Linked DNA regions of Arabidopsis thaliana. The protein of the gene in region 1 interacts with the protein of each later gene in a biochemical or structural test. Each region holds a gene or a part of one and is shown on either strand. Other genes may lie near its edges.

What was found. Proteins that work in one complex are often made in the same cells at the same time.
Region 2: the proteins of MYC4 (region 1) and TIFY7 form a complex in vitro, tested with the Arabidopsis thaliana proteins (2 studies listed by BioGRID).
Region 3: the proteins of MYC4 (region 1) and JAZ1 form a complex in vitro, tested with the Arabidopsis thaliana proteins (2 studies listed by BioGRID).

What each region holds. Positions count from the first base shown.
Region 1 is NC_003075.7:9,932,514-9,937,904, reverse strand, and holds MYC4 (Basic helix-loop-helix (bHLH) DNA-binding family protein), read left to right. Parts: upstream 1-2,219; 5' UTR 2,220-2,433; coding exon 2,434-4,203; 3' UTR 4,204-4,579; downstream 4,580-5,391. Other genes in the region: AGD8 (ARF-GAP domain 8), read right to left, coding at 1-127, 451-569, 707-784. UniProt on the Arabidopsis thaliana protein: Transcription factor involved in jasmonic acid (JA) gene regulation. With MYC2 and MYC3, controls additively subsets of JA-dependent responses. Can form complexes with all known glucosinolate-related MYBs to regulate glucosinolate biosynthesis.
Region 2 is NC_003070.9:26,652,606-26,657,564, forward strand, and holds TIFY7 (TIFY domain/Divergent CCT motif family protein), read left to right. Parts: upstream 1-2,162; 5' UTR 2,163-2,345; coding exon 2,346-2,436; intron 2,437-2,644; coding exon 2,645-2,727; intron 2,728-3,221; coding exon 3,222-3,376; intron 3,377-3,464; coding exon 3,465-3,549; intron 3,550-3,632; coding exon 3,633-3,873; intron 3,874-3,968; coding exon 3,969-4,144; coding exon of another isoform or gene 4,145-4,199; 3' UTR 4,200-4,459; downstream 4,460-4,959. Other genes in the region: HWI1 (Receptor-like protein kinase-related family protein), read left to right, coding at 1-241, 541-672, 757-776. UniProt on the Arabidopsis thaliana protein: Repressor of jasmonate responses. Jasmonoyl-isoleucine (JA-Ile) specifically promotes COI1-TIFY7/JAZ9 interaction. Interacts with and suppresses RHD6 and RSL1 transcription factor activities to negatively regulate jasmonate-stimulated root hair development.
Region 3 is NC_003070.9:6,619,689-6,624,120, reverse strand, and holds JAZ1 (jasmonate-zim-domain protein 1), read right to left. Parts: upstream 2,345-4,432; 5' UTR 2,290-2,344; intron 2,202-2,289; 5' UTR 1,810-2,201; coding exon 1,647-1,809; exon of another isoform or gene 1,449-1,646; coding exon 850-1,448; 3' UTR 501-849; downstream 1-500. Other genes in the region: AT1G19190 (alpha/beta-Hydrolases superfamily protein), read right to left, coding at 1-245.

The DNA of each region.
Region 1 (5,391 bases):
ATACTTAGCTTCAATTTTGCCACCATCAGTCCATCCATGTTGCTTGAAGAAAACCTGAGCACGGTTGTTACCACCAAACATCATTGTCCTGAGCTGCTCCGGGCTCCAAGAGTCTAAATTCGTTGATCTATACAAAAACGGAAAAGGTAGCATCTTGAGAACGTAATGTGGCATTATTCAATATTATCTAGTCAATGAATCGATAATTTGAATGAGTCTAATTTCAAGACACTGGTGAAATTTTGAAGTCAACAATTCTGAAACCTTAAAACATAATCTGATGATTCAACCACACTAAAGTCAACGTAATGCTACACATTAGCCAACAATTCTGAACACCTGAGCACGGTTTAAGCTAATTCCCTTATAAAGGCCTCAAAAGCTTAAACCTTAGCCAAAATCTGAGCTAGAGTAATGCCGAAGAATTGGATCAGATGATGAATTGTTTACCTGACGAAGCTGATATGAACACCAAGATTCCGGTGAGTAGCTGAACAATCGATGCAGAGGAAAATCCCATATGTAACCGATGCCCAAGTTGGATTCTTCGCACTACAATCGAAGCAGACCTAAATTGGCAAATCAAAACCAAAATTAGCATAAATGAATCAAAGATCTAGTCAAACAACTCTCAGATCTAAACATACACAATATCAAATTGACGATACTCAAAGAAAGAGAAGAATTCAGAAAAAAATTTGATTACCTTGTTCTCAGATTTTGATTTGAGTTTTCTGAAAACAATGTTTTTGTCGGTAAGATTGTCAGCAGAAGAAGAAGCCATTGTAGATCAAATTGTTCAATTTGATCACCTCCTTGAAGAAATTTGAAAGATTTTTTAATTTGAAATCTTTCTTCTTCAAAATCTGTAAATCTAAAGGAAACAGTACTAACGTTTGATGGAAACATTTGATCTGACTAGACTGACGAAAACACCCTGAATAAACTCTAGAAATTACGAAAATGGCATTACGTAGAAACGACACGTAGTGTGTAAATTCCGTTTCTGAAGCAACATGGATGATATAAAACGGACGAAAGCTTATCATTTTCACCTTTTCTTAAACCTCAATTCAAAGATTACTTCCTAATTTGTCTAATCGTGTGTTATACATTTTTCGTATTAATATTATGTTTATCATATGGTTTAATACGTACAGGATTTGTTTTTAATATCTGAAGTTAACATGTATTAGTAAATTAAAATACGACTTTTTATAACTCCAGGTTTTCAAACTAACTAACGGTTTTCATTTTTGCCTTCTTTCCATAATATGTCTCACACATATTATATGCTAAAAGTTTCGCTATACTTGTTGTTGACCATACACTAAAAAATGTCAAATGTGAAATATTTGCGGGCTAGTTTTATTAACTACCCAAAATGTGTGAGGCCCAATATAAAGTAAAGCCCAGCTTAATTTGTTTTGTTTGCTTTTATGCGATTCCGAAATGTCACTGTACAGTAGACACTATAGTTTCGTCGGATATGAACATAGAGAGACCAACATTTTTGGGCATTTGCTCTCACTGAAAAAGAAAGCATATTATGAAATCTGGCCACTAAAAACACGAGACCCACACGACATAATGTGATTATTTTTGTGTGGTCGTATAATTTTCGTAATTAAATCTAATTCTGTTTTAATACTATACCTTTTATTTTCCTTTATGCTCTTGCGTCTCTTTCACCTTTGATATCAAAATCACCCATGTCTTTTTTTTGTTCTTTATCATTGCAAAAAGTTGTGTCCAATAACGAAGCCAACAAAAATATGTTTATAAGAAAATGTTAAACTACAAGTCTACAATATTTGCTTTATAGGTTTTGTATATAAATGTTGTATCCAAATCTTTGGTGTTAACACTCCCTTAATCCCTTTAAATCATATTTTCCTGCCTCAAAGAACAACTGCAATTCTACAAACTCATTGTTTAAATTAATTGATGCTACTTGCTTACAAGAATTAAATGATGGGATTAATCACAAGAAAAGCAGATATTGACACCAATACCAAAAGTGAGGGAGACAAGATCATTATTGTAAGTGAAATATCATTTTCATTCTTTAATTGTTCTTAATTATCAACTTTGATGTAAAAGGCTCCTTGACAAATTTGATCCGATTCTCTTACATAGATTAGTAATTTTCTTGTAAAACAATTACTATTCAGAAAAAAATTGTTTTCAATCAAGTTATGTATATAACCCAACTTCAGAAATAACTCAATCAATAATTCATATTTGGTGAAAATAAAAGTACTATTTCTTTTTCTTTAGAGTTAAAAAAAAAAAATGAATATAAACAGATTCCTTTTCCCGAAACAATCAAACCAAACACAAATATTTTGCTTAAAGAACTTACTTCTCTCCTCTGTCTCTCACCGGAAAAACAAAAAGTCTTCTCTTTTATAACTACGTCAGAGAACTGTTATGTCTCCGACGAATGTTCAAGTAACCGATTACCATCTCAACCAATCAAAAACGGATACAACAAATCTCTGGTCAACCGACGACGATGCATCGGTAATGGAAGCTTTCATCGGCGGCGGCTCCGATCATTCTTCTCTTTTTCCTCCACTTCCTCCTCCTCCTCTTCCTCAAGTCAACGAAGATAATCTCCAGCAACGTCTCCAAGCTTTAATCGAAGGAGCAAACGAGAACTGGACTTACGCCGTGTTCTGGCAATCATCTCACGGTTTCGCCGGAGAAGACAACAACAACAACAACACAGTGTTGTTAGGTTGGGGAGATGGTTATTACAAAGGAGAAGAAGAGAAGTCTAGAAAGAAGAAATCAAATCCAGCTAGTGCAGCTGAACAAGAGCATCGTAAGAGAGTGATTAGAGAGCTCAACTCTTTAATCTCCGGTGGTGTAGGAGGAGGAGATGAAGCTGGAGATGAAGAAGTTACAGATACTGAATGGTTCTTCTTAGTTTCAATGACACAGAGCTTTGTCAAGGGTACTGGTTTACCTGGTCAAGCTTTCTCAAATTCAGACACGATTTGGTTATCTGGTTCTAATGCTTTAGCTGGATCAAGTTGTGAGAGAGCTCGTCAAGGTCAGATTTATGGGTTACAAACAATGGTGTGTGTAGCGACAGAGAATGGTGTCGTTGAGCTTGGTTCGTCGGAGATTATTCATCAAAGTTCAGATCTTGTTGATAAAGTTGACACCTTTTTCAATTTTAACAATGGTGGTGGTGAATTTGGTTCTTGGGCGTTTAATTTGAATCCAGATCAAGGAGAGAATGATCCAGGTTTGTGGATTAGTGAACCTAATGGTGTTGACTCTGGTCTTGTAGCTGCTCCGGTGATGAATAATGGTGGAAATGACTCAACTTCTAATTCTGATTCTCAACCAATTTCTAAGCTTTGTAATGGAAGCTCTGTTGAAAACCCTAACCCTAAAGTTCTGAAATCTTGTGAAATGGTGAATTTCAAGAATGGGATTGAGAATGGTCAAGAAGAAGATAGTAGTAATAAGAAGAGATCACCGGTTTCGAATAATGAAGAAGGGATGCTTTCTTTTACCTCTGTTCTTCCATGTGACTCGAATCACTCTGATCTTGAAGCTTCAGTGGCTAAAGAAGCTGAGAGTAACAGAGTTGTGGTTGAACCGGAGAAGAAACCGAGGAAACGAGGGAGAAAACCGGCGAATGGAAGAGAAGAGCCTTTGAATCATGTAGAGGCAGAGAGACAGAGAAGAGAGAAGTTGAATCAGAGATTCTATTCTTTAAGAGCTGTGGTTCCTAATGTGTCTAAGATGGATAAAGCTTCTCTATTAGGAGATGCTATTTCGTATATCAGTGAGCTTAAGTCTAAGTTGCAAAAGGCTGAATCTGATAAAGAAGAGTTGCAGAAGCAGATTGATGTGATGAATAAAGAAGCGGGAAATGCGAAAAGTTCGGTAAAAGATCGAAAATGTTTGAATCAAGAATCGAGTGTGTTGATAGAGATGGAGGTTGATGTGAAGATTATTGGTTGGGATGCAATGATAAGGATTCAATGTAGTAAGAGGAATCATCCTGGTGCTAAGTTCATGGAAGCACTTAAGGAGTTGGATTTGGAAGTGAATCATGCGAGTTTATCGGTAGTGAATGATCTTATGATCCAACAAGCGACTGTGAAAATGGGGAATCAGTTTTTCACGCAAGATCAACTCAAGGTTGCTCTAACGGAGAAAGTTGGAGAATGTCCATGAATTGAAGTCAGCATCTTTAGGGCTAATACACCGGAGAATACTGCGAAAAGTCGAAAACAACGATCATAGTATAAGCCGCGGTAAAAAGTGTTAAACCTTTCACACAAGTTTCTCTAGTGAATGTAGTTGTAAACTCTATTGTGTAAGGGTAATTTTGTAGTACCCACTTGTTGCTATTGAATGCTTGTTAGAGAGGATTCTTAGTGTAGTATATGATTAGGTTGGGGTTTGTTGTTTCATGAGATAAATAAATGTGTTTGATCAATGGTTAAGTCTTTGGTTTGTTGGTGTATGTATGTAAATAAGGCTTTTGTTAGAAATAAGACAAATGGGACTGAAGTTGGAGTTTTTTGTTGTCTTTTGAGTTAAAGTTTGAGTATTTCACTTTCAAGTGAGTTTTTTGTGTTCATCATTTGGGACTAGTCATTGGGAAGTTGGCATCAAAAGAGGCATCTAATTTGTTAGGAACGAATATACCTACTTTTTTTTGTTTTCAATAGGGATAATTTAAATCAATCACAGCTATTTAGAGATTCCAATGTAGGACCTCAAAATTTATGTGGATGTTACATGATCATTATCGTTCTAAATAGTATTTTGAACCATAGATTACTTCAGAGTAATTAAGTTTGTCGCATAAATCATGATGCACAACATGCAAATGCTAAATGGATTTCTTGATATTGACAGAAGAAGTGAAACCACTAGAATAATACCCTTTAAAAAAATAAAAAAAAATCAATATATGTCATAAAGGTCCAAAATGGTGAAATCAAAATGAAACATGGGGATATAAACATAAGATGTCTTAAAAGGGTTGTGGGGGAGGGAAAGCGAGGTTATGAATCTTTGAAGAAAAAGTTAAAATCATACAAAAAAATCGTGGAGACATGTGTGGTCGATTATTAAAGAGATTTTTCTGCAACATATATTATTGTGTTTGTTTCCAAACATTTTAGCAATAATCTCCTCGAAAATGTGAGTGACAGTGCGAAGAGAACGTGTGAGTGATAAGAAGAAAGCATGCGCTTTTAAAATTATAGGGCACATTATCGCCAAATAAAAACAAAGAACGAAAGGAGACATTTATCATCTGTACATGTAATATTAACTATACTTTGTTTGATGATCGTTTTCTCATTCTGGATAACTTTAGATTAATTGTACGTAAAAGATGTACTAAATAGA
Region 2 (4,959 bases), on another chromosome or scaffold:
TTAGGTACCGGAGATGGATCTTACAGGACAGGTGGCAACGGGAATGTTCAGGGTGTGGCTCAGTGCTCCGGTGATCTAAGTACATCACAGTGCCAAGATTGCTTGTCTGATGCAATCGGACGGCTCAAATCTGATTGTGGAATGGCTCAGGGAGGATATGTTTACTTGTCGAAATGTTACGCGCGTTTCAGTGTTGGTGGTAGTCACGCGCGTCAGACCCCAGGCCCAAACTTTGGTCATGGTCAGTCTTCCTCTAAACTTATTTTAACTAAACTAGATAAAAAAATAAAAAGTCGTAATCACTAAAAAAAAAACCTTTTTACGTAACCTCAGATGAAAATTTAAATATTAGACTGATCTTAACAATTAGTCTAATGGTTTATATATTTGTGTACGACGCTAAATTTTTAAACCCATAAAATTGATAGTGTTGACCATAAATAAAAATATGAACATTATACTTGATGGAGAAAACAAATTTATTAAAAACTTTAGAGGTGGATGGATAGTTTTAAAATTATATATATATATATTTGGCAGAAGGAGAGAAGGGCAATAAGGATGATAATGGAGTGGGAAAAACATTGGCGATAATAATAGGAATCGTCACCTTAATCATCTTGCTCGTTGTGTTTCTCGCTTTTGTTGGAAAGTGTTGTAGAAAATTACAAGGTATTTTTGATATTGATTTACGTTTTTTTTTCAGTTCTTTTATCGATCATAAAATCTAAATTACTATGTATATGCCTTTTGCAGATGAGAAATGGTGTAAATGAAAGGACAAAGTGGGAAAGATATCAATCAACAACTCGAGTCGAGCCACACTGTTAGTTGTATTTTTGTAATTTTTTTTGTTCTCCCTCATAAGATGTACGTAGTTATAGTATATTGATAATTTGATATAGTATTGATATGATTGTATCTCCGAATCGATTTTTGTATAATTGTCGGACTTATATAGGCCAAAGCGATATCTTCTTCTTTGATGTGAATGAAACCTTCGATTTCTTATCTTCTATAAATGCCATGTTTTTCGTCTATGCAAAAAATAACAGTAATTAAAAGGGTTTGAGCTTCTTTTATCAATACACAAACAAGTTAAAATAAATGAACGTGTCGAGAATAATGGAACATATTAAACCGTAAATCAGGATGGAGATCCAAAAAATGATAACTGTGTTCGTCCTATTGCGAATGTCTGAACGAATCTTTTCATCGTATTCATCATTATTTATTCTCATATTGTCTAAAGAACTCAATTGAAGACTTGGCCTAATGTCCTTTAATCATTAAAAATGATAATTTAAAATTGTAAGCTGACTACCAAATCGTTTTAGGACTTTGAAAGACCAACTAACGTCTAATTCTTTTCCATATTTTTTTTAATTTTCTGAAATTCTTAATGTACTACCGATGATTGCTTCATAACCAGGTTCTTCTTTTAATTTGTACATGAGTAACATGACTAATAAATGACTTGCGTCTGTTTGAAACATTATATGAATAAGAAAAATTGGTCTCAAATAACAACATGATGTATCAAAGATTCAAAAATTTCACGTGTTATGAAATGAGCTTAGCAAAAGTTCACTCAAGTTCTTGGAGGTCTAGTTTGGAATGCAATTTAGCCAAATCTGTACAGTTATACTGAACAGATTTAATGTAAGTCGGGCCGTAAACAAAATTATGGGCCTTAGATAAGCAAATCAAACTTCTTTCAGCCCATTGAGCATTCTCGTGATTTGGTTATTGTATATCCAATACGTGACATTACTTTTGCCTCAACGAAAGAGTCTTGGCTTATCATTTCATTTATTATTATAGTTGAAATAATTTTCAAAGAAAAGAAAAAAATATGTGATAAATACCAAACCGTTGCATAAGAAAAGCAACCACACATTTTACATGTGTGTGTGAGTTCACGAAGAAAATATCCAATAGCCAAACTAATTAATCCACCTTTGAAAAAAAACATGCACTATTATAAACTAGAGCCACCGACGGTCGACGGATGTCTAATTGTATATGGTCCTCAGAAATGAAAAAATCAAAAGAATAAACACGTGTGAATTAACCGGTTTAACCAGTAGCACCAACCGTTTGTACCGGTCAGAAAAAAGCCCCACATGCTTTAATCAAGCAAGCCTTTAAAAACAGGAAAGGCAAAGAGTTAAATAAGCCTCTCCAAAAGTGTGTCTGTAACATTACCAAAACGAAACCTTCCTTGTGGATTCCCACTTCTTTCTTCTGTTTTCTTCTTCCTCTTCTTTAAATTGGATGTTTTGGGCAAGAAACAGAGAGAAACACGTTAATTTGAGAGTTTGTCATTGAATATTTGGTTTGCAATGGAAAGAGATTTTCTGGGTTTGAGCGACAAGCAGTATCTAAGTAATAACGTTAAGCATGAGGTTAACGATGATGCTGTCGAAGAACGAGGTTTGTGTTCTTGTCTCGAGAATCTTTTATTTTAATGTTTCAAGAAGAGATCAGTTTTCACTTTTAACATAGCCGTATAAAGTTGTTTATTTAAATATAATTTTTCAGATTCCAAAACTTGAAAAAAAAAAGATTCCATTAAATCTTTTATAAAAATGAGATTGGATAGATTAGTCAAATTGACGACCATAAAAAATGATACTTATAGGGTTAAGTACGAAGGCAGCTAGAGAATGGGGGAAGTCAAAGGTTTTTGCTACTTCAAGTTTCATGCCTTCTTCAGATTTCCAGGTTGGTTCATCTTAAAATTTAACTTACTCTGTATCAGTTTCAGATGTTATGGCTAATCTAATGGTTCTATAAGCTACCGCATAATCATGGTCGTCTTTTAGCATGTGCAAGAGGAGTACTCAATTATGGTCTTGATTAAAAAGAAGAATTTACTTTCAAATTATGTTAAACACATCAATCACATATTTATGAGAAAAGTTGTTTTCGTAAGAGATAGCCACCGGAAAATGGTCGGATAAATGGCCGAACTTTATCATTTTTGTGTATGTGGCCAATCATTAACCAGGGAAAAAAAATTGTTGGATAAGTGCTAGTTAAGAGCTGGTAGGGTCGGTCGTCTGCCAGCCGCAAAGTTAGGGAAAAAATAATTTAATATTTTGTGGCGTTTGGTGTTTGGCGTTTGGATCACGTTTATTTCTTGGCATTTTTCTAAATTTAGAATGTACAAAAAATTTAAAGACGTTGACGATTAAAATTTGAATTTAACAAATTAGGAGGCTAAGGCGTTTCCGGGTGCATACCAGTGGGGATCAGTTTCTGCGGCCAATGTTTTCCGCAGATGCCAATTTGGTGGTGCGTTTCAAAACGCGACGCCGCTTTTACTAGGCGGTTCAGTTCCTTTACCAACTCATCCTTCTCTTGTTCCACGGTAATTTCCATATTATGATGCAAAAACATTCAACAATTTTTTTGCTCTTTTCATATTTTGATTTGGTTATGTGGGTTTGTGGAAACAGAGTGGCTTCCTCCGGATCATCTCCTCAGCTCACAATCTTTTATGGCGGAACTATAAGCGTCTTTAATGACATATCTCCCGATAAGGTATATATAATCAAGATTCATACAAATAACATTTACATAACATTTACATGTTCTAAAACGGACTATTCATGATATGTGAGTAGGCTCAAGCCATCATGTTATGCGCCGGGAACGGTTTGAAAGGTGAAACTGGAGATAGCAAACCGGTTCGAGAAGCTGAAAGAATGTATGGAAAACAAATCCATAACACTGCTGCTACCTCATCAAGCTCTGCCACTCACACTGATAATTTCTCAAGGTGTAGGGACACACCCGTTGCTGCGACTAATGCAATGAGCATGATCGAATCATTCAATGCAGCTCCTCGTAACATGATTCCTTCAGGTATGTGTGTCTAATATCAACATCAAAACAAAATATAATCAAGATTTTTGCTTCCTCAAATCATATGTCTAAACTCGAAAATTGCTTTTTTCCAGTCCCTCAAGCTCGGAAAGCATCCTTGGCTCGGTTCTTGGAGAAGCGCAAAGAGAGGTTTGATTTTGTATTTTTTTTCTTTATAGAAAATTTTGAGGTTTTTCAATTGAATCTAAAAGAATTGATGTTGTTGGTGCAGGCTTATGAGTGCAATGCCATACAAGAAGATGCTTCTTGATTTGTCGACCGGAGAATCCAGTGGAATGAATTACTCTTCTACTTCTCCTACATAAAACCTACACTTTTTTTTTTTTTTTTTACAATGGTAATTTGTAATTGTAATCATTAGATTATGATTATATAGTTACCATTTATATTCTTACGAGCAGGAGAAGACGTTAGGGCGTCTCTGTATTTGATCATTGTTTGTAATGCTTTGGTCTGTTTATTGTAGGATTACATTATAACTTTAAGAACTAACAGATATATGTTTGTCATGGACTCATGTCTGTCAAGAATTTAATATCAAATAAAATTCACTATAATTTTTTTTTTGCTAATTTCACAAACACACTTCATTAACTAATTATATGAACACTTAATTGATTTATACCAAAATCATATTGAATGCATCGCTAAAGAGAATAGTACTAGTTTTGTATCGCCAGCTTTCGTTGTTAACAAGTCCACTTTACTATTATTCTCTCGAGTTTTTTTTTGGTATCAATGTAAAGAAAATAAGAAGGTGAAAATTCTCTTGAGGTTGATGATTGTGTAAAATACCTAAGATGATATATTACAAAAAATGATATGTTTTCAAAGGAAAATATTCATGTTTTAAATAGCTTTTTATGAAAGTCACGAGTTCAAAATTTGATGTTAAGGAGAATAAATACTACTAGTTTATGTGCTACAGTAAACAAAAAAAAAATTGTGAACCAAAAGAGCTCACATGTTGATTACGAAAACAGAGAGATTCTCTTCACAAGCGGAAAGATCTTATAGATATTATTATTTAGAGGCAGATAAATAATTGTAGGAAAGTAATAATGG
Region 3 (4,432 bases), on another chromosome or scaffold:
CCTCCGCCATGAAAGTAGACGAGTAGTGGGATTTTCTTCTCGCCGGTTTCATAGACGGAATTTTGAGGGAGGTAAATGCGGAGAGAGAGGTTTTTCTCCGGTGAATAGACGGCATCTTTAGATACGACGCCGTTTTCGGGATTTAGTGACGGTGGGACGAATGTTTCGGGTACGAGGCGTTCGATGCCACCGTTCTTGAATATACGAAACCTCGGAGAATAGTCGAATGCGATTTCGGAATCCATTAGAGATTAATGATGATTAGGAAAGAATTAAGAGTTGATTTTGGTGTTTATGCGATTTATTTATATGAATGATCTCTACGAGACTACGACTACTCTGAACTCTCTATAGTTTTGGTTTGGTTTAGATGTCACGTTGTTCTTTAGTTGTTGACATGTTGTTAAACCTACCTACTAACTCATAATTCACGGGTTTGAATTTGAATCATAAAATATGAGATTAGTAGGTAACAAGTAAACAAATGAAAACAAAACACACCTACTTACCTGATAGGTAGATTTATCAAGATATAATTTAGAGTATTTGATAGTATGGTTCGTCAACAAAAATTATTGTTCTTACAAAATTAGTTACATACGAAACTAATTTTGAGATAACCCATAGCAAGGGGATTTAGACAGGCGACAATAACTAGTAGAAAAACAGACTATAACGAATACTAACAATAATTGATCACTAATCAATACATACAAATATATGAAGTTTCCTAATCATTGAGTAGTTTGTATCTTAAATCAAAAAGCATGAAGATAGGAGCTTTTATATCTTGTCTTGAAGCAACGTCGTCAAAAGAATTTCTTGGTACGGCTTGAGGGTGGTTAGCATTCATATTTCAGCTGCTAAACCGAGCCACGACATGTTGCCTGTGGTTTGAGGGTTTGAAGACGCTTTGGCTGGATCGCATAATTGGTATGGTGCCTTTGACGTAACTCTGTCCTTTCTCTTCTCCAAGAACCGGTGAAGTGAAGCTCTTCTAGCAATAGGAAGTTCTGTCAATGGTGTTGGGGAGGATTGGATTGGCTCTTGTGTTGTGGTTTTTCTTGGATGAGGAACTTGGTTTGCGATAGTAGCGATGTTGCTTCTGATATCGGTTTGATTCTTGGCTAAGCTATTAGCGGTGCCTTTGCTCGCCAAGTTGATCACTTCTTTGGCTTTCTCAGCAGAAAAGTCATTGAATACAATCACTTGCCCGGCGTAGAATATAGTCAATGGTGCAGTTTGAGACTCTGGTTTCACAGATCTGGTAGTCTGTGTCATTTTCAAAACATCTTCCTTTGGAAGAGAGGAAGATGAGGAAGAAAAGCTTGGTTGCCTAGGAAACAGATTCGTCGGTTTAACATCTTGAACCATGGAATCCATGTTAGAAGCTTCACAAGGGAATAAACTCATGGTTGTTGTCGGCTGACGTGAGTTGCCTAAAGTTCCTGCAAATATATATGATCCAAAAGTTAGAACTCTCTCCAATCATTTTCTATGTCAAAATTTAGCAAACTAACTCTCCCTAATTTCTTTGAAATCGATTCAAAATTTTCTTGAAAAGTTTTCAAGATCAAGATTCAAGAAATAAAAAACAGAGAAAACGAAAAAAGAAGTGGATCTAGGAGAAAGAGAAGGTTTCTTACCATTGACATCAGGCTTGCATGCCATTCCTAAGCTCAGATCTCCAAAGCTACCGTTCTCTTTTAGATACTGACTCAATCGACTACACGTCTGTGAGAAGCTAGGCTTCTTCCCAGTAAATCTCCGGCTACCGACGAACTCAGAACATTCCATAGAACTCGACATCTTTAACAATTAAAACTTTCAAACGGCAAGAGTTTCTCGAATAGCTAAATCGATACAAAGTAATCTCAAATCTTTTTCTTCTTCTTCTTGTTGTTGCTGTTGCTTCTCTGCAAATTGCGTTTGTCACGAGAGGGAGAAATGGAAGGTCTCTATAAAACTTTGTTTGGCTTTGGGGTTGGTTGGTTTGGTTGCAGAGTTCTTCTTCCTACCTCCAATATAACAAAGCTATATATTAATAGTTTAATAAATACTACTACTTTACTTATGGTATAAAAAACACGTGTTTTATTTTGTTTCTTTAGAAAAATCGGGAATGTGTCTCGGTTCACTGTTCTCCACGTTCTGACGCTTTCCGTTTCTTTGAAATTACGAGTTTGCCCTCCTTCACGAGCCTAATTTATCCATTGGTTGTTTGTTGGTAAGAATAAAGTCAAATAAAACACAAGATGCATGTAATGATGTAAAGAGAAGAGAGGTTACATTTTATCTCTAATCTTTATTATCAACGTAACGTAGGCATAATTCTCGTCGTGATTTTGGTGCTGTTTTTTTTTATCGGATATGTTAACAAGAAATTAATCAACCTAAACACGTCTAAAAAGTACTTAATATTTCTAATTAAAATAAAATAAAATCTTTTTGTATAAATAAGAAGCAAAACGCGTTAGAACCAGTCAACAGTCAAAGCCTAAACTCTTTCACATTTTTAAATGCTCTTCATTGAGACTAAATAATCTTACAATTATAATTGAAATCTAATATGATATTATACTCGAAACATTTTAAAACTTACTATTATAAGTATATTAACGCGTGATTCATGCAGAGAGACAAGCTAAGAATTGTCTAATATCTAGAAAGAAATAAATTAAAATATAAAGTCTGCTAGTTGTCGAGTTGGAATAAAAATGAGGCACAAGCTAAAAGTCATACATCAAAGTCAACCCACATGTCGACCGTCACAATTGATAAAATGCCATGAACCATATGATAATTTGATTGAATAATCAAAAGATTACACGTAACGAAAGTAATGCTTGGCACCTAAAAATCAATAATACAAACTGAGACCTAATTAAATGGTCGTCAATATAAAAATGGACATATTAAAATATATTAAGATATCCAAAAGCAAAAGAGAGACTAATCCATATATCAAGGGTGTTATCGTCCAAGCGGGAAAGTAAACGGCGTTAGTGAGTGGTCCCCTAAAGAAGACAACTCCACCACCCACATGTTCCGTCGACCACGTTTTTGTTGTTATGCGTTTTTTGAACAATATCAATATTTAACGAAAAAAAGAAGCAAAGAAGAAGGAAACTACAAGGAAAGAAGGTTGGCAAGTGCACGTTGTCTGTACCTATTCGATATGACACGTGTTTTATCATGGTTGGTTCGTTTTTCTACGCGTGGAGAGATTCTTGTATTTCAGTATCCAGGGCTCTTATACGCTGCTACGCGACCTATAGAGTTCTAATGTGATTTTATCACCTAAACGGCTAAAGTTGATCTCTACAGCTGCTTTCTCAAAGTAGACCAAGCCAAAGCTCAGATATTTGGAACCCTATACATGCAAATCGATCACAAAATATCTAAAACCTTAAAACATGAAACAAACTCCAAAACCTTACTTTTATGTATAGGCTTCAGCTTCACCTATACGTTGATGTCATGTTTCATTGTAGGCTATACATAATAAAACGACTAAGAGATAGATCTGTAATTGTAACTTGGTGTATAATATACACATTAATGTTTAATTAGACTTGGATAATGCGACACAATTATATTAAATTAATCAGTAAACAAAGTACGTGACAAAGTATTATAATATGGACTCGATCGACACAATTCAGAAGAAAAAGTCGTCCCATACTGATACAACGAGTCTTTCTTTTACATAATTGACAGAAACTTTATTGGTGCAAGATTAGATATATAAAATTCAAGATATATTTCACTAATTAAAAAACTCAACTAGTTTTGAGTTTATTGGTTAGAAGTTGGAACGTACTATAAGATATGAAATGTGGGCTATGGAGCCTATAAAAGTAGATATGATTAGATTAAACGAGAAAGATCGTCAAACTCGTGGGAAATGCGTGTACGTAGTGGTTGGGAAGGAATACAGATCCGCGATGCAAGTTGAGTAACGTGTCCAAATATATATACTTTTACAACTATTCATGCATTAGTTGAGTTTACCATTAATTTACGACTCTTAATTTATTGTATGATTATAGTATATTGTTTAGTCCTTGTTAATGATAAACCAACATTGTAGAGACTTGTAATGTCTAATATATTATACAGGTGCAAGCCTATCTGTTCGTTTAGGGTTTTATTTTCTTAGAGTAAGGTAATACTTACAAAATTTACATGGTTGACTTTGCTAAGCATAGATTGATACGTAGCCACGTTGTATAGTTTTTATTTGTTTAACAAATACTTATGTAACAATCAATGATACAATCATACACAAGTTTTGAACAATATGCACATGAATATCTAGAAATGTTCAAACAATATTATTCTACAATTTCTTTTTGTTTCATGTAAAGGTACGCATGCGTTTGTTAGCCTTTCGAAAATAAATATTAAAATTTATAAATGTTAAAAAAGA